3 linked regions of the Tamandua tetradactyla genome follow. Each later gene encodes a partner of the first gene's protein in a complex. Links are inferred from orthologs where the notes say so. Each region holds a gene or a part of one and is shown on either strand. Other genes may lie near its edges.

Region 1 (7,715 bases):
TTTTTGAAAAAAATTCTCTTTAAATTTAGAGATAACTGTACATATTTCTTTTAAAAATTAACTTTGTTTAAAAACATACTCAAATTATTGGATAATATTTCTGACAAAATATGTCCTGTACCAAAAAAAGAGGAAAACCTGAATCCGAATGTGAGTTACTTGTGTTTCCAGAAGGTTCCGTGGGAGTGGCGCATCGTGCCCACCCAGGGTCAGGCTGCGTTCTTTCTGGTCTCCCCTAAGAAGTCGTAGGTCTGCTCTGAGAGGGTGAAAGCAGGATGGGCTCCTGGCGACAGCAGGGCCCGGAGGGCGCCGTCACTGCCCTGCTCCTGCTGCAGGAAGCTGGCGATGGCCCGCCACCGTGCCGCCTCCGTCTCTTCCTCGGCCCACCTGGGCGCGGGCAGCCGTGTGGAGTGCAGCAGCGGGTACGCGCAGTCGTGGTAGACCAGGAGGAACGTGGCTTTCAGGAACTCTCTGTCTCTCTTCTCTGATCTTTTTAGCATGCTTTCTTTCTCAGCCCATGCACTCCTGAGGGCGTCCATGAGGTCAGGCTGCTCCAGGAGCCTGGGAAAGGTGGCCAGCACAGGAGGTCCTGCCTCTCAGGAGCACGTCTCCGAGGACTTGATGGTAGAAGACCAACAGGTGGCTGCAGCACATGCTCCCAATCAATGTTTCTGGCAGGAGACTTAATATGTTTCTTGACCTTTGGCTTAAAGACCTCAGCTTTACCAGGAGTTGAGGCTGCCTTCTCATTGTCATCATCTGGTGGAAAACACTGCCATGTGCTCTTCTGGATATTGAAGGGTCTACTTCAACCCCTTTTTCATAAGGGGTGCCGCCATTCAAGATGAGCTCGTAAGTTTTTGCTGGAATAGGAACTCCACTGTCATTAAAGTCTGAGAAACACCCAGCCACAACTCAACTCTCCTCTTCCTCCAGTTGAATTGCGAATATAAGAAATTCCAAGTTCAAACAGTATTCCAAGATTTGGAGATGAAGAATTGGACCTGACAAAACAATCTCCATCAAGCAAGCATGGCAAGATGCCAGTAACCTGCAGGGAGAAGGTCCAGGAGCGGGGCTTCTTGGGCTGCCACGTGGCCCTGACGGTGTGAATGTTGCTCAGAACCTTCTCGCCGTCAAAGAGGCAGAGGCGCACCTGCCTGCTGAGGACCTGCACGCTTGCTCCGGGGAGAGGGACCATCTTACAGCTCCACAGGGTCAGAATCAGTGAGGCACGGCTTGGTCTTGACCTAATGGTGCCTGCGTCAGCATCCCACGCTAGGTCCTTGAATGCCAGCTGTGAAGCGGTGAGCTCTGGTTGTAAGAAATAACTTGCTCGAAATTGAGTTCCTTCATCCAGGAGCCGGGAGAGCGTGGATGGCCTGAACCCCGCAGGGATGGCGCCCAGTGTGGTCAGCGCATCAACAGTGCTTATCTGCTCTGAGATAGCTTTTTTTTTTTTTTTTTTTAAAGGAAAGACAGAGAGAAGGAAGGAAGGAAGAAAGGGAAACATTTTTAAACATTTTCTTGTTTTATTGTATTCTGTTTCTCCGTTTTTGTTACATGGGCTGGGGCCGGGAATCGAACCGAGGTCCTCCGGCATAGCAGGCAAGCACTTTGCCCGCTGAGCCACCGCGGCCCTCCCCTGAGATAGCTTTTTGAACAGCACTCCAATGAGAATCAGTTCTCTGTTTACCTTCCACTCCACCTGCTGTCTCATCTGCCCCCTCCACGTCTTCTCCACTGCCTTCGTCACTCGATTCCTGGCCTTCTTCTTCATCACAGGGCTGAGAACACCCGCGAGACAGGACACGCTGTCCACCTGGTGTGGGAGCCAGCCCACACACACGCCAGTCCTCCAGGTAGGTTCTGGGAATGAGACCTTCATTTCCTTCGGCATTCCTGGCTATCCACCAACCATCAGGTTTCTTTTCAATTATAAGGAGAACTTCCTCTTTCTGGAATGTAAGATCCCCAACTTGCTGAGCAGCAAAATCTCCAATAGCAACATATTCTTGACTTGCTGCCTGTTGCTGGGACTCATTTCCTCTTTCTCCTCTTCTTCCTCCCCATCATTTTCTTCACTTTCTTCATCTTCGTCTTCTTCAGCAGAATTGTCATCTTCCTCTCTTTCAGTAAGTGCTCCAATTTCAGTCAAGTTTTCTCGATTTATGGCCACAGCAAGTTCCTGCAGTTGGTGGGTGAGCTTATCCAAAAGGTTATGCTCCTCATTTTTTTTCTGATGATAGTTCCCCACAGGTGCAGGTTCATCAGCTTTGTTTAATTTTTGAAGAGCATTTTTATTTTCATCGATTGCATGTTTCAACTGGATACATCTTTGGTAAATATCTCGCCTTTTATTGGCTTCTAGAGTTTCTGTCAACTGGATCTCAGAAAGCAAAGTATCAACCTGCTGCTTCAGCTCGCGGCTGCGGCGCTGCACCGCCCGGAGGGGGTCCCCAACATCTGTTTTGATTGGTTAATGCAAATGTGTACTGGGTTGAGGCAGGTTAGACAGGGGAGGAGGGAGGAGGAAGTGACCCTAAAACCTGAAACAAAAAATTTCTTTAGGTACCTACACACCTATCTAGACCCTCCCCCCCATATATATATATACACACAAGAAGTGGGCAAGGCCCCTACAAGTCCTGACCTCAGAGGGATTCTCCTCCTTTGGAGAATGCCACACTCATCTTCCTTAAGAGTGTGTACTTTTGCTACGCAATTAAGTTTTGACCTATAAACACTAGTTAGTCTTTGGATTCTTTGGCTGTACACACTAACAACTCCTAGAATTCTTTCCTGCAACTGAGTTAAGAACTCTCATGTTGCCAGCTCTTGGGTGAAGTCTCAATTTCTGAGAGTTCCTGGGACTCTCTGGCATCAGGATTATAAATTGTGAAAATCAATTACATTTTTTATAAAACAAATTGAGTATTATTTATTAAATGTTTTGAATATTCTGAATCTACTTTATTCCTTAACATTTCAATTTGCATACATACCTAATTTTTTTCATAGCTGGGGAGCCAGCTTAATTATTATTGGACCACGATCACCTCTTAATTACTTGACTCTTCTAGGACAGTATTTTGTGGAGCGAATTATTATTTTGGTGCACCGTGGGAACACAGGTCAGGGCACAACTGAAACTTCCAGCAAATGAGCTCTGCAGTATACAGAATAAAAGATCCAGAAAGGGCAAATTGCCTTGTCATTTACATAGTCCTAAGGAGCAGAGGAAGAAATCCCATCAGGGCCTGGGGTGAATGAAAATTGCTCCGGGATTCATACATGGTACCTTCCAAGTCCCACTTGGCACTGGAGAAAAGAAATCAAGTCTGAGCCTGGCTTGCATCCACGGAGGGGTAAGGGGCCCTGCCACTGAGATTCCTGTTCTGATAAGCATCTGGGGCTGCTTGTTACTGATTTCCAGGTTTAAGGTCTGGCAGGGCCTTTTCATTAGCAAGAACATCTACCCCAGACTGTGGAAGGGCACAGAATAAAAAACGGGGTAGAGAATGGCTGCTTAGCTTGAGTAACTTCTCCAGAGAAGGCAGCAGGGGTAGGTAGGGTCTGAGGGATGACCTCCACTTAACAGCTGTCTGTGATTTTCCTAACATCTTTCTTTTACTCCAAATCTGCCTTTGTCCTGATTTTCCACTCTTAATTAATTAGCATCCCCCATCCAGTTATCTGAAGCAGAAACTTGAGTACCTTTACCTCAATCTTTTTTCAATATTTAAAAATCATTTTAAAGTTACAAAACACTTGCAAGAATAATATAAAGAACTTCCACCTTTGTCAAGTTCCACAATTTTTGATTTAACACATTCTTGATATCATTGTCTCTCCCTCTCCATATATATAATTTATATTTTTATTTATTGCTATTATTTATATATACATTTTTCCTGAACGCTTTTAACGGAGGTTGCAGACCTTTAAATAGTTCTCTGTATACTTTCTAAAAACAAGGATAGCTTCTTCATTACTAGAGTGTAGTTATCAAAATTAGGAATTTTAACTGGTTAAAAAAAACAAGCATCTAATCCACAGACCCTATTCAAAATTTGACAGATGTTCCAATAATGTCCTCTGTCGTAAAAAAGATTCAATTTAGGAAAAGGATCCGGAAAGGATCCATCACGCTGTCCCGTCTCCCTGCAGTCTGAAACGTTTTTTCATTGTTCTGTTTCTTTCCGACCTTGACACTTTTGAAGACTTCTGTGCAATTTTCCGCAAATTCGGTCTGACATTTCCTCGTGATTAGATTCAGGTTGTGCATTTGGGGCAGAAATATCCCTCGAGGGCGTTCTCTGTGCTCTCTGCAGGTTGCACACCACGCTGGTTTGTCCCATTACTGGCGATGGTAACACTAATCATCAGCACCACGCTGGGAAGACGATGGTGCCCTGATCAAGCAAAAAACCCAGAAGGGAGCAGATTTTGAGGGGAAAGATGGAGAGTCCCACGTTGGGACACGTTGGATTGGCAGTGTTTCTTCTCTCCTGCCTCACTGTTTGGAACAAGTGAGATACGCTTTGTTAGATGTGGTGGTGCCAAGGGGAAGGGAAAGTCGGGCCTCCACACAAATATGCTCCACCTTGTCTCACTACAAAGATGCCATAGGTTGCAGCGCCCGCCTACGGCTGCGGAAAACGGCCTCTTCACGCAAGAGTTGAGGCGCGACTCGTCTCCAGCCCGGGTGACTCAGCCAAAGATGGCGCCCGCGGCAGAAAGAGGAGCAGGGAAGGGGGCGTTGTGGAAAAGACGACGTTTTCCTCTGCATGAAACACAAAATGGGATGGCTCAGGGCTAGACGGATGGTGGATACTTTTTTCTCTGATTTTTTCCTGTAGTGCAACTCTTCATTCTCGACGCTCTAAACGCGTGTTTCATTCCGGGGAAGCGAATGCGAGGGGGCGACAAGTCTGCTTTTGCCTCATTCATGGTCCTCCTTGTCCTCGGCGGTCTCCGGCCCAGCCTCCCCGCTCCCCCTCCCGCGTCTTTCTCCCGGCGTTTGCGGCGCCCTGAGGCCGGCAGAGCGTTCCTCAGGTGAGGGCACCACGGGGCGCGTGCCCGCAATCCGCGGCCTTCTGAAGGCTCGCGGGCGCGCGCGTCCTGTCTGCGCAGACGCCGATCAGCAGCGCCTCCGGGCGAGGCCCCAGACCCGAGGGGGTGTCGAGGGCAGGCTGCGGTCCCGGCTGGGCTCGCGGGCCCAGCCGGTTGTCATGGGGACGGCGGCGTAGGCAGTGCTGACGTCAGCGGCGGCGCGCGGCCCGCACCGCAGCATCAGCCGCTGGCAGAGTCCGGGTCCCTTGCGGCCGCCGCTGACTCCCGCCCGGCCGGGCCCACTGGGCGCGGGGAGCCGCCTGGCAGCACCGGGGGTGGGCTCGGGAGGGACGGGCTGTCCGCGCCCTCCTCTGCGTGAGTACGCTGCGGGCGTTCGGCCCGGCGGACCTTTCGGGGCAGCCGGATGGGCGGGGGTGGCCGCGGGGAGGCCGGGGTCGGTGAAGGAGGGACCTGCCGGCTGCCCTGCGTGCTTCCCCGCGCTCGCTGCGCGGCTCGGCCTTTGCTGTCCGGGATTCCGGTTTCAAAGCCTTGAAATCAGATGCGCACTGAGTATTCTATTTCTTTTTTAAATAGCGTCAGCCTGATGCTGAGTCTTGAACCTGTGAAATCGCATCTGAGAAAAGGTAATCCATGAGTTACAGTTGAAAAGAAAGTTCAATTATGTTCATGGAATTGTTTAGAAATATATAGAAATAGACACGTATACTCTAGGAATCGCTACAAAATATTTGTGTTGCGTCTCAACAGTACAGTGAAAACATCCACAGACGGGTATATGGCTTTACCTTTTTTGAGAAAGATGATAACAGGTTTTTCACCTGTTGCATTAATGATTGCTGCTATCGCTTGAGCTTTCAGCAAGAGGAATGCAAGTTACGTGGACATTGGGGAAAATGTTTAATATTTACAAAAAACTCATACTAAAAGGGTTTTAAAAACATATTTAGAATACTGGTGCTTTATGGAGAGTTGGTGATTTATTGATTGAATTATTTATACAGGGTTTTTTTTTTCTTTGATACAAAATTTGGTTAAGGACTAAATTTTTCCAAGCCTCTCTACCTTTTCTTCCCTTGCTTTGTATTCACGTATTAACTGATAATTGGTAGGTTTCTCAGCTGGTAGGGAGAAGAGACTAAAACTGGATAAAAGAGCTTTATTGTGAGGCTGTGCGCTGGTGGGCTGACGCTTATGATGGTGACAACCTTGAGCAGGGGAAGGGGTATAGGTTATATAGGCGCTAGGGAGGTGGTGGATTTTCACCGTCTAGCTTGGTTGTACGAAATTGGCAGCTTAAGTACGGAGTTATTGCGAGCTTGTAGCTGCTGCGGCTTTATCTTCCAGGAGGGGGTGGTGGTGGATAAGCGAGCTAATGTAAGATTGTAGCTACTGGGGCTGTAACTGCCTGAAGGCGGAGGTTGGATAAGGGAAGCATGGCTGGAATACAGCTGCCAGAGGGGGTTGCAAGGACACTCATACAACTGCCATGTGGGCTGGGGCAGGTTTGGTTTTGCAAGGGGCTTCCTGGAAGTTATGGGGGGTGGGGGTTAGCCTAATAATAATCAGGTGGACAGGGAAAGTTAAATTAAGACGAAACAATGCAGTTACTTTTACTTCTTAATGTCTCAAAACCGCTTTTCTAAAAAAGGTTTGTGATGAAGCAGATTTAAGATAATGCTGTCTATAAGGTTTAGGGATGTCTTTTTACGTCTGACTTTATTTTTGCAGATAATGTTACTAATTAAATATTAGTCATTAGTTCTGTAGTACACATAAAGTAACATTTAGAGACAATTATTTCTATAATATAGTTGCATTACCGTTAAATAATATCAGTCTTGATTAATTCCACTGTGTATTATGCCATTTAATAATAGTAAATAGTGATATAAATATATAATTTACTTAATTATGTATTTTACTTATTATGAAATTATTTGCTTGTTTTTAATATAATGGGCATAAAGTAATTTCTTGAGTACCTGCAGTGTGCTGCTAGCCAGTGTACTCATCCCTTTGCTTTACAGTATTTAATTTACTCCTTGCAATGAGGTAAGTGTCATTTTAATCTCCCGGGCAAGGAAACCAGGGCTTAGTGAAGTTAAGTTGCTTGCTCAAGGCCAGTCACTCAATAAGTGGCAAAACAAGAACTCAGGCCTGGGTCTCTCTGTTTTCTGACTCCAGACCATTAACAATTTTTTTTTTTAATAGCTGTACAGAGAAGTAAAGAGCACCAGCCTAACCCTTGAAAAGCTAGCAGGTCACAGAAAAGTATAGACACATTTTACCTGAGTCACAATTCAGGTCTCAGGTAGAGGTATGAAGATCAAGGCATCATGAGAACTTAGAGAAGAAGTTAACTATCTTGTGATGTTAGAATGTTACCCGGAGAACATACCATTGCATTTAGTGTCAGAGGATAATTAGGAGTTTGTTAGATGGATGATGAGGAGGAGCATTTCTCAAGAAGAAGAGCACGTCTGTAATGACAAAGTCGAGGCAGGATTTGACATATTTGAGGGCCTGCCTGTGGTTTCCTGTGCCTGGAGCGCAGAATGTAGGAAGTGTGGCAGGAGAAAGGGGTATAAAGAAACACCAGAGGTCTTTCCTTAAATGGCCTTGGATTTCACATTTTGTTC
Region 2 (7,237 bases), on another chromosome or scaffold:
AGGACATGTCCCTGGAGACATGGGCTAACCTGTTGGGACCTGTAGGGAAGAATGGAGCTGACTAAGATAAAAGCAATTAATTATCAAAAGCTTAGTATGTTTCTTAGGAAAAGGCATTTGAGATCTGGCTGGGATTTACAAGCAAACTGCTTCAGAGGCTCAGCTTCTGGGTATTGCTGACCTATTTTGGTCTCCTACTGATTCCGGTAACGTTCGTGTGATAATAGTGGTCCCACCTGTTCTACTTGTTGACACACTGCCTGTAAGTGGGATTGGGAAATGGTGGGATGCTCAATGCTCGCTCTCTTGGTGCACTAAGTTGGCCTGAGTTTTTTCTGTCTTTACTGTAGTCCAAGGTGGGAATAGAACAGGGAGTCTATAGAATGTAAAAGAATATTGCCTGCATTCCTGGACCCTACACTCCCTCCCCTCCCCCCAAAAAGGATATTACTTGCAGATTGTGATCATAAAATCAAAGCCTTCAATGGTCCACGATGTTTCTGTATTATGGTAAAATAATTTATGAATAACATTTGTGGTAGATGCCGCTGGTGCCCTGCCCATGTCTCCTCACCCACGAATACACTTTGAGAATCCCTATTCTACACCATTTGCCAGAGTTCCCCAAAGGGATGAAGCTCTGGGTGTCTTCAGTGGAACTTGATTGATAATGCCTACTTTAGGCTTTGTTTCCTTACCTCCTTTCTTCCCCCTTCTCAAACCAGCATTTCCTGGATCACCTCCCCAGAGCGTTACTTGTAGCAGATGCTTTTGGTCTCATTCCCAGGTCCTCTTTACCAGCTGCTGAGAGTGTTAGCTGCTCCTTTACAGTCAACCCCTATCTCCAAACCAATGATCTGTTCTCCATCTCTATAGTTTGTCCTTTTCTAGAATGTCATATAAAAGAAATCATATAGTATATATAGCCTTTTGTATCTGGCTTCTTTCACTTAGCATATTGCTTTATGTGTCAGTAGTTCTTTCGTCTCTAAGGTTGAGTATATTCCATTAAATAAATATTGTACAATTTGTTTCAATATTTACAAATTATTGTAGATAAATTTATTTGATGAATAAAATAAATATTGATGAATAAAGTTTACATACAGGTCTTTGTGTGAACATATGTTGTCACTTCTTTAGAGTAAATACTTAAGAGCGGAATTGCTGGGGATCATATGGTAGGCAAATGTTTAGCTTTATAAGAAATGTCCAGTTTTCCAAAATGGTTGTACTATTTTGCATTCTGATCAACCCTGTATGAGAGTTCTAGTTGTTCCACATCCTTTTCAGCACTTTGTATTGTCCATCTTTTAAATTTTAGCCAATTTAATAGGTGCGTAATGGTATTCCATTGTGGTTTTAATTTGCACTTCCCTGATGACTGATAATGTTGAACACCTTTTCAAGGACTTATTGGCCATTTATATGTCTACTCTGATGAAGTATCTGTTAAAGTATTTTGGCCACTTAAATAATAAGATTGTTTGCCTTATTATTACTGAGTTTTAAGAGGACTTTATGTATTCTGGATATAAGTCCTTTATCAGATATGCATGTGTTTTGCGAATATTTTTCCCAGTCTGTTTCTTGTATTTTCATTGTCTTAACAGTGTCTTTCAAAGAACAGAAGTTTTTCATTTTGATGAAGATCAATTTATTAATCTTTTCTTTCATAGTTTGTCCTTTCTGAGTTCTAAGAAGTATTTACCCAGCTCAGGGTCTCAAAAAATTTCTCCTATGTTTTTGTCTAGATGTTTTACAGGTTTTTTTGCTGTTGTTGGGAGTGGGGGTGCATGGTCTGGGAATCGAACCTGGGTCTTCCTCATGGAAGGCGAGCATTCTATCACTGAACCACCTGTGCACCCTAGATGCCGTACAGTTTTAGCTCTTACTTTTACATCTCTGATCAATTTTGCTGTAATTTATTAAATTGCTCAAGGTTAGGGGCTGAGGATTTTTGCTTTTTGTGGTGTGTGTGTGTGTGTGTGTGTATGAATGTTTCCCTGATGTCTGGATGGTAAATCATCCCAGGATTATTTGTTGAAAAGACTATCCCTTCTCCATTGAAATCCTTTGGGACCTTTGTCAAAATCAATTAACCACATATATATCTATTTATTCTGGGCTTCTCTTCTGTTCCATTGGTCTTTATGTCTACCTTTATGCCAATACCACATTGTAGTGTTCACCATATAGTTATATTAAGTGTAGAAATCAGGTAGTAAATGTTCTGATGTGGCTCAGATGGGCCTGGATTAGGAAATAAAAATTTGGGAAGGAGCTGGGGATGGGAGTAGATTTAAGGAGGGAGCACTGTTCAAAGGAAAGCCCATAGGTTTGAGTCCAAGATGTAAGCTAGACTCTACGCCCCCTTGTCATGGCAACTGTGGGAAATTCAATTAATGTCTTGGTTTACAAATACATAAAAGGGAGACAAGAATATCTATAAAGTCTGTAAAGATAAAATGAAATAGTATATGTGCAAGTGTTTTCTAGACAAAGCAATTTATACAGATGCTGATGTTATTTCAGGGAGAACACAGTGGATATCAACTCTGAACCACAGAGGTGGGGTGGGGTTGAAGGCTTATGGATGATGGAACATGGAATTTTGGCCTTTATGCTGCATAGTCCAAACCTTTCATATGAAACAAGATGTTAGAATATGAATGTAGTAGGACCATTCTTGATATCAGGGTATAAATTCTTTCCAGAATCTGATAAAAATCATGAACTCTTTCCAGAAAATGTCCCTCACTAAATTCTAAGAAAGGGGTTCACAGATTCCTTGAACTCTACTTAGAGACCCTCATTTTAAGGATTCCTGATTCATATGTACCAGTGAAAAAGAAAAAAGCATGAAAAATATAGTTTACCTGTATAAGAATAATACTAATTTTAGTCCCTTATATAAAGAGCTTAAATTTCCATACCATGTAGTATATTTACTATTTTGCATACAACTATGTCAGATTGACTTTGTGTGCATTCAATTTGGTTATAACATTAAATTGTTTATTCACAACTGTGAAAGGAAAATTTAGAGTGAACGTTTCTTAAGAACTAGTATTCTGCCTCCATGTTTCATCTGTTGAAATAATTACTTACCAGACTGGAAACTGTGTTCTCTCTCTCATGGAGCAAACTGATCGGTGAGAGCCTTTGAAGTGCAGTGTAAGGTGTTCGGGTTTCAGAAAAAGATAAACTTGGCCTGGAATCCTAGCTCCTTTACCACTCACTAGTAGTACAACCTTACTAAGACCTATAATTCCCTGGACTTCATTGGCTTCATCTGTTAATTGGGAATACCTACTTGAAGAGTTTCTATGAGGATTTGGGACAATGCATACAAGGTACATAACAGGGGTTATGGTGCCCCAGAATTCCCAGAGCCATATAATCAAATGGCATGAGATATGAGTTGAGGAGACAATTGCTTACTCTGTTGGGAGAGTACCAGATGTCAAAGACTAATAAATGTTGATATCCCCAAGGTGCCAGGGAGCTAGACTCAAGGTTATGGTGTGTCCTGCCTATGCTAGTTCAATGAAGCATGTCTCCTGAATGGCACTTTGTTGGTCTTTCAGGACGCCAGTGCAGTTTCTAAGGTGGCTTAATGACCCAGAACTAACATACACAGGGGAAGAATCTGTTCACTAATAACATTTCCCCCTTCCTTACTGTTGACTTCCTTGTTTTTTCTTTCTCTCGCTTAGTGAATGCCAATGCAACGACTAATGAATGGACACCACCTTATTTTCCTCTCCAAGGATATAGTTTCGATTGTGGGTAAGTGCCAATCATCTTCCCTGACTCCTTTGGAAAGAGTGGGTGCTTTCTTTGATTCACGTTCATCAGTTTTCAGGCCAAAGTTTTAACGTTCAGTGGAAGGCGGTGTGGCAGAATGGAGATAATGGGCGTGGGCCACCTGAGTCCCTATCACCATTCTTCATCTATATGAAACGAGCTGATGGTTGGGCCGGTTTCTTTATTTGTAAATGCATCAAGTCCGGCCTTGGGTATGAGTGAGCTTTGTTCATACGCTGACCAGGTGAGACGCTGCCGTGGACCGCCTTAGGCGTTCGGCTGCGCCGGGACTGCACGGGCCGGCGGGCGGGCGGGCTGCGGGGCCGCACCGGGATTGCGCGGATTGCGCACGCAGCGCCTGGGTGTCCCCGCGAATCCAGCGTCTTCGTTACTAGGGAAACCTGGGCGGCGCGCTTTCCGGCGCTGTCGTGGCGCGGCGCTACTCTGCGGTCATGGCGGAGACCGTCTGGAGTCCTGACACTGCGGAGGCCGTGTATCGTTCCCGCGACCCCGTGCGCAACTTGCGCCTCCGGTAGTCGCACCGCCTTGGCATGGAGTCCTGTGCTCCCCTCTCCCGCCCCCCAAATAATTCGAGCCTGACTTCTTTTCTCGCTTTTCTGACTCCCCGACTTCCGTTTTCAAACCCGACCACACACACCCTCCTCGGCCTCCCAGCATCACGCTGCCTCTCAGGACGCCTCTCCGCTTAAAGACCTCCTCTTAAGTTCCTTCCCCACCCAGATTCGTCAGCACCCGCGCCCTACCGACTTCCCCTTAGTGGCCTGCACCCAGAGCACCTTAGCAGCCCTGCCCTCTGCTTTTCCCCCCACTATCCTTGCTGTGTTCAGTTCTGGTTGTGTGTCTTGTAACGCGTGTTTTGGGCCTCTCTTTTCCTGACAGCGTCCACCTGCAAAGAATCACATCAAGCACCTTTTTCCAGTACCAGCCTGCTGCCCAGCCTGGGAAGGACCTCATAGACTTGGCAACTTTTAGGCCCCACCCGAGCGCCAGTGAGTGTTTTGGTGGTGATGTGGCCTCCTGGGAATCTGGGGAAGAACCTGTTGTGGTAGAGTTACTTTTAAGATGGAGCACACTCAGGTTTATGTGTGAGTGTGAGAGAAATCACCTTTTTCAGACTAGGCAACTGCAGTACAGAGAAGTTGGGTTCCTTGCCCAGGCAGTTTTAACTACTACACTAGGTTGTGTATGAAAATTGAATAAGCCATGATTCCTGCCATTGAGACATTGATCTGAATTGTGGTCAAATGTAGTAAAATAACAAAGCCATACTTTAGAAATGTTGAAGAAATGACAACTTTAATACCATTTTTCCCCTAAGAGAAGATATGTTCCGAACTCTAAATGATGTGAATGCTTTGTTAGACCATTTTAAAGTTGAGGATTGCTTGAAGAATGCACATGTTAACATCGACAGTGCTGTTGTGCTTTTCCTTGTCTGGGAATCCAGAAGAGTTGAGGAAGAAAGCACAGTGTGCTTGTGTAAGGTTACTAGTCTCTCTGGTTTTATCATGTTTCTGTTTCTGTTAAAAAATATTCCCAGAAAACATATGGGCTGGAGGGGTGTGAAGTATGTGTTTCTGAAAAAGGCACGCTCAGCCAGGAGTGGGTTAGATTTGGGTCTTTTAAAAATTTTATGCTTCTACATAGATGGCTTCAGTGTTCCTTTTTAGTAAATATAGACAGTTGAGATTAAGGAAGGGCTGTCATCCTTTATCTAAATTTCAGCCCCTTATACTGAGTTAGATTAAATGATTCCTGGAAGGCAGGGCTACCTTTAACTCAAATTAGAACAGTATTTAAGACTTCTTCGGTTTTAATTCTGGCTTTTGCACATACTAAACAGAGCCCATGCATAACCTCTCTAGTTTCTGTCTAGAGTCAGTGCTAAAAAAACCATCGAATTCCAGCTATTTTTGAGCCAGACATAAGAGCAGGGACTTTGATTATAACCATCAGAGGAGTAAGAAGTGGTCCTGGTTTGGCTTCAGCAGTTGACTCGGTCTGTTATCTTTGAAGGTGGACACCGTCCGGATGAAGATGAAGAGGAGGAGGTGGTGATTGGTTGGCAGGAGAAACTGTTTAGCCAGGTAAGCCAGTGTGACTTGTCCACTGAATCTTCCTCCACTTGGTCCATTTCCACTTGGATGACTGCAGGGAAAAAAAACCCCAACTTTGAAAGAGAGGGCTGTTGCCATAAAGGTGCCCTAGACCCATGTCATTATTTATTTATTTATTATTTATTTATTTATTTATTTATTTATTTATTTATTTATTTTTGAACATGGGCAGGCACTGGGAAATGAACCCAGGTCTCCGGCATGGCAGGCGAGAATTCTGCCACTGACCCACCATTCTACCACCCCATGTCACTAATTTTAAACTATTTCAGTGAATATTTTTGTATTAGACCCTGTTTTACTCTGGTTATTTTCTCAAATTAGATTCTTAGAAGTAACATAACTAGATGAAAGTATTAGTTTGGAGATTCTTGATACATATCACTAAACTGATTTCCAGAAAGACTGTAACCATTTATACTTTGCCTTGTAGTACAGGGGCAATAGAACATAGTGAAAAATAGCCCTGGCTTTGAGTTCAGGTAGACTTGCGTCAAATCCTGACTGCCACTAGCCAGTTTTATGATCTTGGGTAAAGCACTTTTCACCTCTGGGCCAGGTGCACTCTATAACAGGGAAGTTGGATTAGACTGTTACTCTTATTCTTCTTACTTCTTAACATTCTTTGAATACCCTGCTCTCTGTTAGCCTGGATGAGTGAGAGTTGGTTATGAAAACATGTCAAATAGCATTTGTTCTATAGAACTGGTTTAGTTAGAAAGTGATAAGAACCACAGTTAGAAGTACTCTCAGTAAACTCTGTTTTCTTTTGGTGACCTCAGTTTGAGATAGATTTGTACCAAAATGAAGCAGCCTGCCAGAGCCCTTTGGATCACCAGTACCGTCAAGAGATACTGCAGCTGGAGAATTCAGGCGGCAGGAAAAATCGACGAATCTTTACCTATACTGATTCTGATAGATACACCAACCTAGAAGAGGTATTTTTCTTTCCAAGGTCCCATCGCATCCTTCTCTTTTGCCTCCCTTACTTACTAGCCTCAGTGAGTTCTGTGTATTAATAAGAAGCCTGTTATGGGGAAACAAGTAGCTAGCCCAGAAACTGCTGTGTGCTGCTGGCAGCCAAACTTGATTGAGTGGGCACAATCTGCAGATGGTGTGTCTTCTGCTCCCTTCTCTGCCTGCTGGTGGCCCTGGCAAAGCTGGCATGGATCAGCATCTGTAGTGATAGGCTTGCACATTGCAAATGGGGGAGAAGCAGTCACTGAACTTCTTCCATGCATCATGAGGTGAGACAGAGAAGGTAGAGTTTGGAACAGTTTAGATAAAAT
Region 3 (7,491 bases), on another chromosome or scaffold:
CAAAAAATAAAAAAACCCACAATGTAAAATGATCTATAGTTTTTGAATAATGAATGAGGATTTGTCATGAAAATTGTTTGCATAAGTTTACACACTGGGCAAACTTAATAGATTGTGCCTGTGTCAGCATTTCTATTTTTCCCTGAAAGGTTTATTTATTTGACTAATGGTTTCTATATTCCTGTAAGATAAATTATTATTATATCAAAACAATCCAGCCACTCTGGGAAAGGTATACATTCTCCTAAGTTTACTCTTCTGCATAAGCTTTGGTATGTTAACCATCTCTAAGGGGAATATATATATACACATATACATATAAACCAAAAATGTCAAAACTGTTTATTGTTCTGAATATACACAATACTTTGTCTATTCAGTAAAGGTTTATTGAGCACTTACTCTATATCACACACTAAGATCTGTTTTGAGATATATTATAAATATTTTTAAAATCCCCATCTTCAGTTGAACACAGTTTGTTTCTGATTTGAATTCACTCCTCATGTATGTGTGTGTATAAGTTTAATGATAGTTGTGAAGGGTAGTAGAAATAGGAAATTTTGTAACACTGGTGAAACTAAAGGTCAAGAGATTTATTAAAAGGAATAAATATCCCTTCTAGGGTTTATGATTCACACTCAGGGTGAAGATTCAATAAGATCAAGGTAAACGAAAACATTTTAAGTATTTTCCCCTTTATGAATGTACAATGCACAATAATTTTAAATGTTCAAACAGACACATTAAGGAAAATTGAGTGCATGGAAATAATTCTGCTAGCAAAAGTGAGGTTGAAGTACAATTTCTCTACTTTTGTTCCATAAATTATGGCATAAACTTTCCTGTGTACTGCTTTGTCTCCAGAACAGTAACGTTATTTGGTTTTTTGTTTCATTTGGGTAGTTTTTTATTAGAGAAGTTGTGAGTTGCAGAAAAATCATGCATGAAATACAGGGTTCCCATATGACACCTGGGTAAGTGTGGAATGTTTGCTACAATTGATGAAAACACATTTTTAACTGTCCTATTAACTATTACCCATGGTTTAATTCTAGTTCACTGTGTTGTCAAGTTCCAGGGATTTTTTTTTAACTTCATTCTAGTAACATATATACAACCTAAAATGCCTCCCTTTAATCATATTCAGATACATGATTCAATGCTGTTAATTACAGTCACAATGTTCTGCTACCATGAACACCATCCCTTACCTTAACTATTTCATTACCTCAGATAGAAATTCTGTACATTTTAAGACAACATCCTGTTCCCTACCCCCACCCCACTCCTAGTCATGTATATTCTAGATTCTGACCCTATGAATTCCCTTTTTCTAGTCATTTCATATCAATAAGATCATACAATAGTTGTCCTTTTGTGCCTTGCTTATATTACTCAGCACGTCTTCAAGTTTCATCTACGTCAAGGCTTTATCTGAACTTCATTCTTTTTTTTACGGTTGAATAATATTCCATTACATGTATATAACAAATTTTTCTTATTCGTTCTTTGGTCGATAGCCTCTCCAACACTTATTATTTTCCATTTTTTTAATAATAGCAATTTTAGTGGATATGAAATGGTATCTTATTGCAGTTGTGATTGCATTCTCCTGATGGCTAGTGATGATGAGAATTTTTAAATATGCTTTCTGGCTATTTGTATATCTTCTTTGAAGAAACGTCTATGTGAATCTTTTGCCCTTTATTTTTGCATGGGCAGGCACCGGGGATCAAACCCAGATCCCCAGCATGGCAGGCAAAGATTGCCCGCTAAACCACCATGGCCCGCCCTGCCCATTTTTAAATTGTTGTGTTTTTTTTTTGGTCTCTTTGTTGTTGAATTGAAGGATTTCTTTATATATTCCAGCTATTAAACCCTAATCAAATACGTCATTTGCAAATATTTTCTTCCATTATGTAGGTTGTCATTTTACACTTATGATAAAGTTCTTTGAAATGCAAAAGTTTTAAATTTTCTTCTTCCTGATCTTGAAGGGAAAGCTTTCAGGCTTTCACCATTGAGTAGAATGTTAAAAGTGTTTTTTCATACATGTCTTTTATCATGTTGAGGATGTTTCCTTCTATTCTTAGTTTTCTAAAGTATTTGTGTTAATAAGTGGTACTGGATTTTGTCAAATGCCTTTTCTGCCTCACCTGAGATGACTGCATGCTTTTTTAATTTCAGTCTGTGAATGTGGTGTATTACATTAATTGATTTTCTTATGTTGAACCACTTTTACATACCAGGGATAAATCCTCACTTGATCATGGTGTATAATTCTTACAGTGTGCTGTTGGATTTGGTTTGCTAGTATTTTATTAAGGATTTTTGCATCTATATTCATAAGAAATATTGGTCTGTAATTTTCTTTTTTTGTGGTGTCTTTATCTGACTTTGGCATGATGGTATTGTTAGCTCACAGAATGAGTTAGGAAGTGTTCCTCTTCTTCAATTTTTTAAAAGAGTTTGAGAAGGATTGGTGTTAATTATCCTTGGAATGTTTGGTAAAACTCACCAGTGAAGACTTCCGGTCCTGGGCTTTTGTTTGTTCAGAGGTTTTTGATGACTGATTCAATATCTTTACTAGTTATTAGTATTCGAGATCTTCTATTTCTTTTTTTTTACTTTTCATTTATTCATTTTTTTTTTTAACATGGGCAAGCGCCGGAAATCAAACCCAGGTCTCCAGCATGGCAGACAAGAACTCTGCCTGCTGAGCCACCGTGGCCCATCCAGAGATCTCCTATTTCTTTTTGAGTCAAAGTAGGTATTTTGTGTTTTTCCAGCAATTTGTCATTTCATCTAGGTTATCTAACGTGTCAGGGTATTGTTGTTCATAGTATCCTCTTATAGTCCTAATTTCAGTGGGATTGGTCACAGTGTCTCCTTTTATCATTTCTGATTTTAGTTATTTGTGCCCACTCTCTATTTTTCTTCACCATTCTACCTAAAGGTTTGTCAATTTTATTTATCTTTTCAAAGAACCAACTTTTGGTTTTGATGATTCTGTTTTTTTCAGTTTTCTGTTTCATTTGTCTCTGCTCTAATCTTTATTATTTCCTTCCTTCAGCACACTTTGGGTTTGCTCTTCTTTTCCTAGTGCTTCCAGTTTTGAAGTTGGGCCTCTACTTTGCAATCATCCTTCTTTTTTAATAGAAGCATTTAGAACTATAAATTTCCCTCTCAGCACTGCCTTTGCTGCATCCCCTAAGTTTTGGTATGTAGTATTTTATTTTCATTTGCCTCAAAACATTTCCACGTGTTTTTTTTATTTTCCATTTCTCCCCCTCTGTTATGATTTCTAGCTTCATTTCACTGTGTGGTAAAAGATGATGCAATGATGATTTCAATATTTTTTTGTATTTATTGACACTTGTTTTGCTCTCTAAGATAAGGTTGGTCCTGGAGAATGATCCATGAGCACTTAAGAAGACTGTGTGTCCTGCTGCTGTTGGATGTGTTCTACATATGTCTCTTAAGTAGAGTTGGTTTAGAGTATCATTCAAGTCTTGTATTTCCTTACTGACAACCTATCTAGATGTTCTCTCCATTATTGAAAGTAGTGTATTAATGTTTCCGGTTATTATAACCACATTTCTCCCTTCAAATCTGTTAGAATTAACTTCATATATTTTGAGGCTCTGCTCTTAGGTGCATATATTTTTAAATGTTTTTGTTTTCTTACTTAATTATGTCTTTTCAAACCGGCACTTATCCATTCTGCCAATCTCTGCCTTTTGAATGGAGAGTTTAATCCATTTATATTTAAAGTCACTATGATAAGGCAGGTCTTTCCTCTGTCATTTTACTATTTTGTCTTTGTAAGTCTAATACTTTGTTTGTCCCTCCATTTTCCATTAATGCCTAGTTTCATATTCATTATTATTATTTTTTACATTGTATGGTATCAAGTCCCTTCTTGTGTCTAGGGCATATTTTTTATATATTTTCCTCGTGGTTGGTTACCCATGGGGTTAAAATTTAATATGCTAAATATATAACAATCACATTTGATTTGATAACTTGACTTCAATAGCATACATATGATACTGTTTGATTTTAAGGCCTCACCTTAAAAAGTAAAAGTAACTTGATGTCATATGGTGAGAAGAGCAATGAACAAAAGAGAGAAAAAGAACCGTTTAGATACCTGAGACCCTTGCTTTTGATTTGCCTAAGTCTGTGGTTTGCAGAATGTTACCCACCCTAACTCATTCCTAACTAGTGTATATATTAAGCTCTTTGAAATGTGAGTATTATGGGAAGGATCGCAGTTGCTTTAAATTATAGAAGTTGGCAAGTGCCTGGGAGAAGGAGTGGGAGGTTGTTTAAACTGAGAAAGACAGTTGCAAAACTTCGTACAACAGCATGAGCTCCAAGCTTCAAAAGCATTCTCATGCTCAGACGAGTGCTTTATTTTTCACCAAGTTATTTTTGCATTGTTTTGAAGCAGCTTCAAATAATAAACACATATTTTTGCTTTAAATTTTTTAATGGTTTCTAAATTCATGGGACAGCCAAAACAAGAAAGCCTCATGTTTTGGAGGAAAGTTTGACATCAGGAATGCCTAGAAAAGGTAAGCTACCATTTTCGCTACATTTTTCTCTTTTTTCCTCCTGTTTGGCCTTCGTCAAATACATTTACTGGAAGAACTTAAGACAGCTTCTTGTAAGGAAATGAGGAACTTGTAGAAAGTATGTCAACAAATGATAAATCAGAAGTTGAAAAGCCTCAGCAGTAGTATTTCTCCTACTTTCTATTCTGCTTGATGCATGAACTTTTGTGAAATATTTTTAGCTATATGAAAAAAATGACATTTCTCTTAGAAAATAGGGGCAGGAGTTCCTCAAAATCTCTATCCCGTATAAACCCAACACTTGCCTGTGTGCTGATGGGCTAATTTATTGTCAAGTTCAGAGTCTTTATGTTTTCTTATTCCACTATATGTAATTCACCTTTCGGAGCTATGATTTTTGCATCAACTCGGAAATCTTTCCCATGGAAGATTTTAATATCATTCCAAAAATTCTCTTAAGCACGGTTACTGTCACTTCTTATAAACTTGCTTTGCAGATAGTGGTTTTGAATGTTAAATAAATCATTTGACTTTTCCATTGTAACTACACTGGAGGATATTATAGACATTATATATCTGGGAAGGGGGAGTGGGGGACGTTCACCTGAATGTTTGTTAGTTCGCGTTGCAATTGGCCGAAAATGTTGCTCTCTGAATAAGGTGGTTTTGCATTATCAATTGTGCCTCATAAACAGGTAGGGAGCAGAGAGGCTGTGACGTTTTCTTGTATTTCTACGCATCGGTTATACGAGAGGTATCTTGTGGTTTTAGGTGAAGAAGTGTATAAATGCATAAGCTGTTCCTATTTCCCTGAGAAAGTCCCTGTTATCAGCATTTCCATCTTTCGGAGGCAGAATCCCAGGTGCAAAAAAAAGATACCCGCAGAGATCTGCAAATTCTTCTAGCAGGCTGAGATTTTGTCAGAGACCCACATTCATTCTTCCTCGCACACATACGTATGTACTCACAGCCAGCCATTAAAAAACCCTGAGGGTTCTGTTACGCTTCAGAGGTTTGGGACATCCCAGGTGACTTCAATCTGCAAAACCTGCTTGTATAGAAACATGAGCAAACCAGCCCAACGGGACATGGGTGAAAATGGTGGGGTACAGCATGGGGGACGCTGCTCCCGGAATAGTGAGGGACAGGAAGGGCCGTGAAGGGCTGTGCCTTCCTTGCCATACTAGCTGTTTTTCGGCTTTTTGAATAATATTTCCTTCTGTGTCAAATTCTAGTTGCATAAAGTGGATTATTGTAGCTTCCTCTGCCTTTTCTGGTCTCAGTGGAAGGGGAGGGGTCAAGGTCAAAGAAGGATGTTAGTACAGAAAAGCAAGAAGACAGCTTGGTCTCTTCCTTGCAAGGTGGTGGACTTAGTTGCCTTTCTCCATCCACAGCTGTTAGTGGAAGAAGTGAGGGACCTGTAACAGCCAATTTATTGTCCTCCTTTCCCTGTCTTCTCTTTCTTCCTTTTCCCCTCCACTTCTAATGTGCCAGCCCAGAGAACATCAAGAGAGGGAGGAGCGGGTTGGACTGACAAAATTATTTCCATCTCCGCCTTCCTGGTCCTCTCGATGTCCCCCTGGGCAGCTGGGGAAGCCCCCACCATATTTGGAGGGGGGGTCCTCCAGGTCCCCACCCCATGACCTCATTGCAGGCAGCCGGAGCCAGGGGGGGTGGGATGGCCAGCGGTTGCATGGCGCCTGAGTGCACCCTGGGGACGGGTGTGGCTGGGAAATGCGCCGTGTGGCATGACGTGACTGCTGGGGTCTGGGGCACCCGACTCCCCATTTTGGGGCTCCATGGAGGCTGGCGGCAATGCTGGACGCCAGACCCAGACCAAGCCTCTCCTCTGGGCCAGAGAAGGCTTGAAAGAGGACAAAAACAAAAAGGCAATTAAGGTTGCTGATGAAGCCCCAAGCCAGCTGACTCATCGGAGGCACAGTCTCTCAGGGGCTTGGCAATGAAACCTGGATGAGGCGCTGGAAAGGACAGGTCACAGTTGACCCAGGAAGGACACTGATGGGACGCCCAACCTGACCTATGGGTGCCTTCTCATGTCGGAGGGGCCGAGGGAGACGAACATCTGCCGGGTGGAGGGAGGAAGAGTGTTAACTAATGAACTGCTGGGGAGAAGGGCAGCATGCAGTCTGCCTGGCTTTGGGGTGGGAAGGTGGTGAGTAAAAGTTGCAGGTCCCAGCTCCATAAACCAGGATCTGAAAAGCCTCCGGTCAGGAATCAATACCTGAGTAGGGGTCTTAGCTTCCTAGAGCTGTCGTAGCAAAATGCCACACACTGGGTAGCTTAAAACAACAGCCATGGACAGTCTCACAGTTATGGAAGCTAGAAGTCCCAAGCCAAGATATTGGGAGGTCCTGCTCCTTCTAAGATTGTAGGAAACGATTTGTTCCAGGTTCTGTCCTGGCTTCTGGCACTGGCTTGCAGGGAACCCGAATGGCATTCACTGCCTCTGCTGTCCCATGACATTCTCCCCTTGTCTCTGTGTCCAATTCTCCTCTTCTTATAAAGATTCCAGTCATATTGAATGAGGGCCATCCTAATCCAGTTTGGCCTCATCTTAACCGATAATATCTTGGGCCACCCCATTTCCAGATAAGATCGCATTGACAGAACCAAGGGTTAGAACTCAAATCTGTCATTTTGGGTGGATGCAATTCAACCCCTAACAAGGGGCTAAGAGAGAAACGTTATTTTTATCGCAGCAGCCCCTTTGGAGTGGCCACTCTGCACCAGTGTCCTTGGCAAAAACAGACCAAACACAAACAAGCAAAATCTGCATAAGCCAAAGACCAAATATAAACTACAGTCTAGAAAGGTTGGAGAGAACACAAAGGGGGGCGCTTTGCAAATCTGCCTGCTGAAATCAAAGCAACTTTCCCAGTAGAGTAGC

Evidence for each region.
Region 2: AHI1 (region 1) and MKS1 share a complex: the UniProt entries of both Homo sapiens proteins name them as parts of the tectonic-like complex. The link is inferred for Tamandua tetradactyla from reciprocal best matches to the Homo sapiens genes AHI1 and MKS1.
Region 3: AHI1 (region 1) and CC2D2A share a complex: the UniProt entries of both Homo sapiens proteins name them as parts of the tectonic-like complex. The link is inferred for Tamandua tetradactyla from reciprocal best matches to the Homo sapiens genes AHI1 and CC2D2A.

The regions. Positions count from the first base shown.
Region 1 is NC_135351.1:35,788,057-35,795,771, reverse strand, and holds the start of AHI1 (jouberin), read left to right. Parts: upstream 1-4,711; 5' UTR 4,712-5,058; intron 5,059-5,270; exon of another isoform or gene 5,271-5,430; intron 5,431-5,649; 5' UTR 5,650-5,699; intron 5,700-7,715. UniProt on the Homo sapiens protein: Involved in vesicle trafficking and required for ciliogenesis, formation of primary non-motile cilium, and recruitment of RAB8A to the basal body of primary cilium.
Region 2 is NC_135332.1:39,209,164-39,216,400, reverse strand, and holds the start of MKS1 (tectonic-like complex member MKS1), read left to right. Parts: upstream 1-4,218; 5' UTR 4,219-4,262; coding exon 4,263-4,342; intron 4,343-4,710; coding exon 4,711-4,820; intron 4,821-5,847; coding exon 5,848-5,918; intron 5,919-6,730; coding exon 6,731-6,886; intron 6,887-7,237. UniProt on the Homo sapiens protein: Component of the tectonic-like complex, a complex localized at the transition zone of primary cilia and acting as a barrier that prevents diffusion of transmembrane proteins between the cilia and plasma membranes.
Region 3 is NC_135345.1:14,654,389-14,661,879, forward strand, and holds the start of CC2D2A (coiled-coil and C2 domain-containing protein 2A), read left to right. Parts: upstream 1-4,472; 5' UTR 4,473-4,570; coding exon of another isoform or gene 4,571-4,583; intron 4,584-7,491. UniProt on the Homo sapiens protein: Component of the tectonic-like complex, a complex localized at the transition zone of primary cilia and acting as a barrier that prevents diffusion of transmembrane proteins between the cilia and plasma membranes.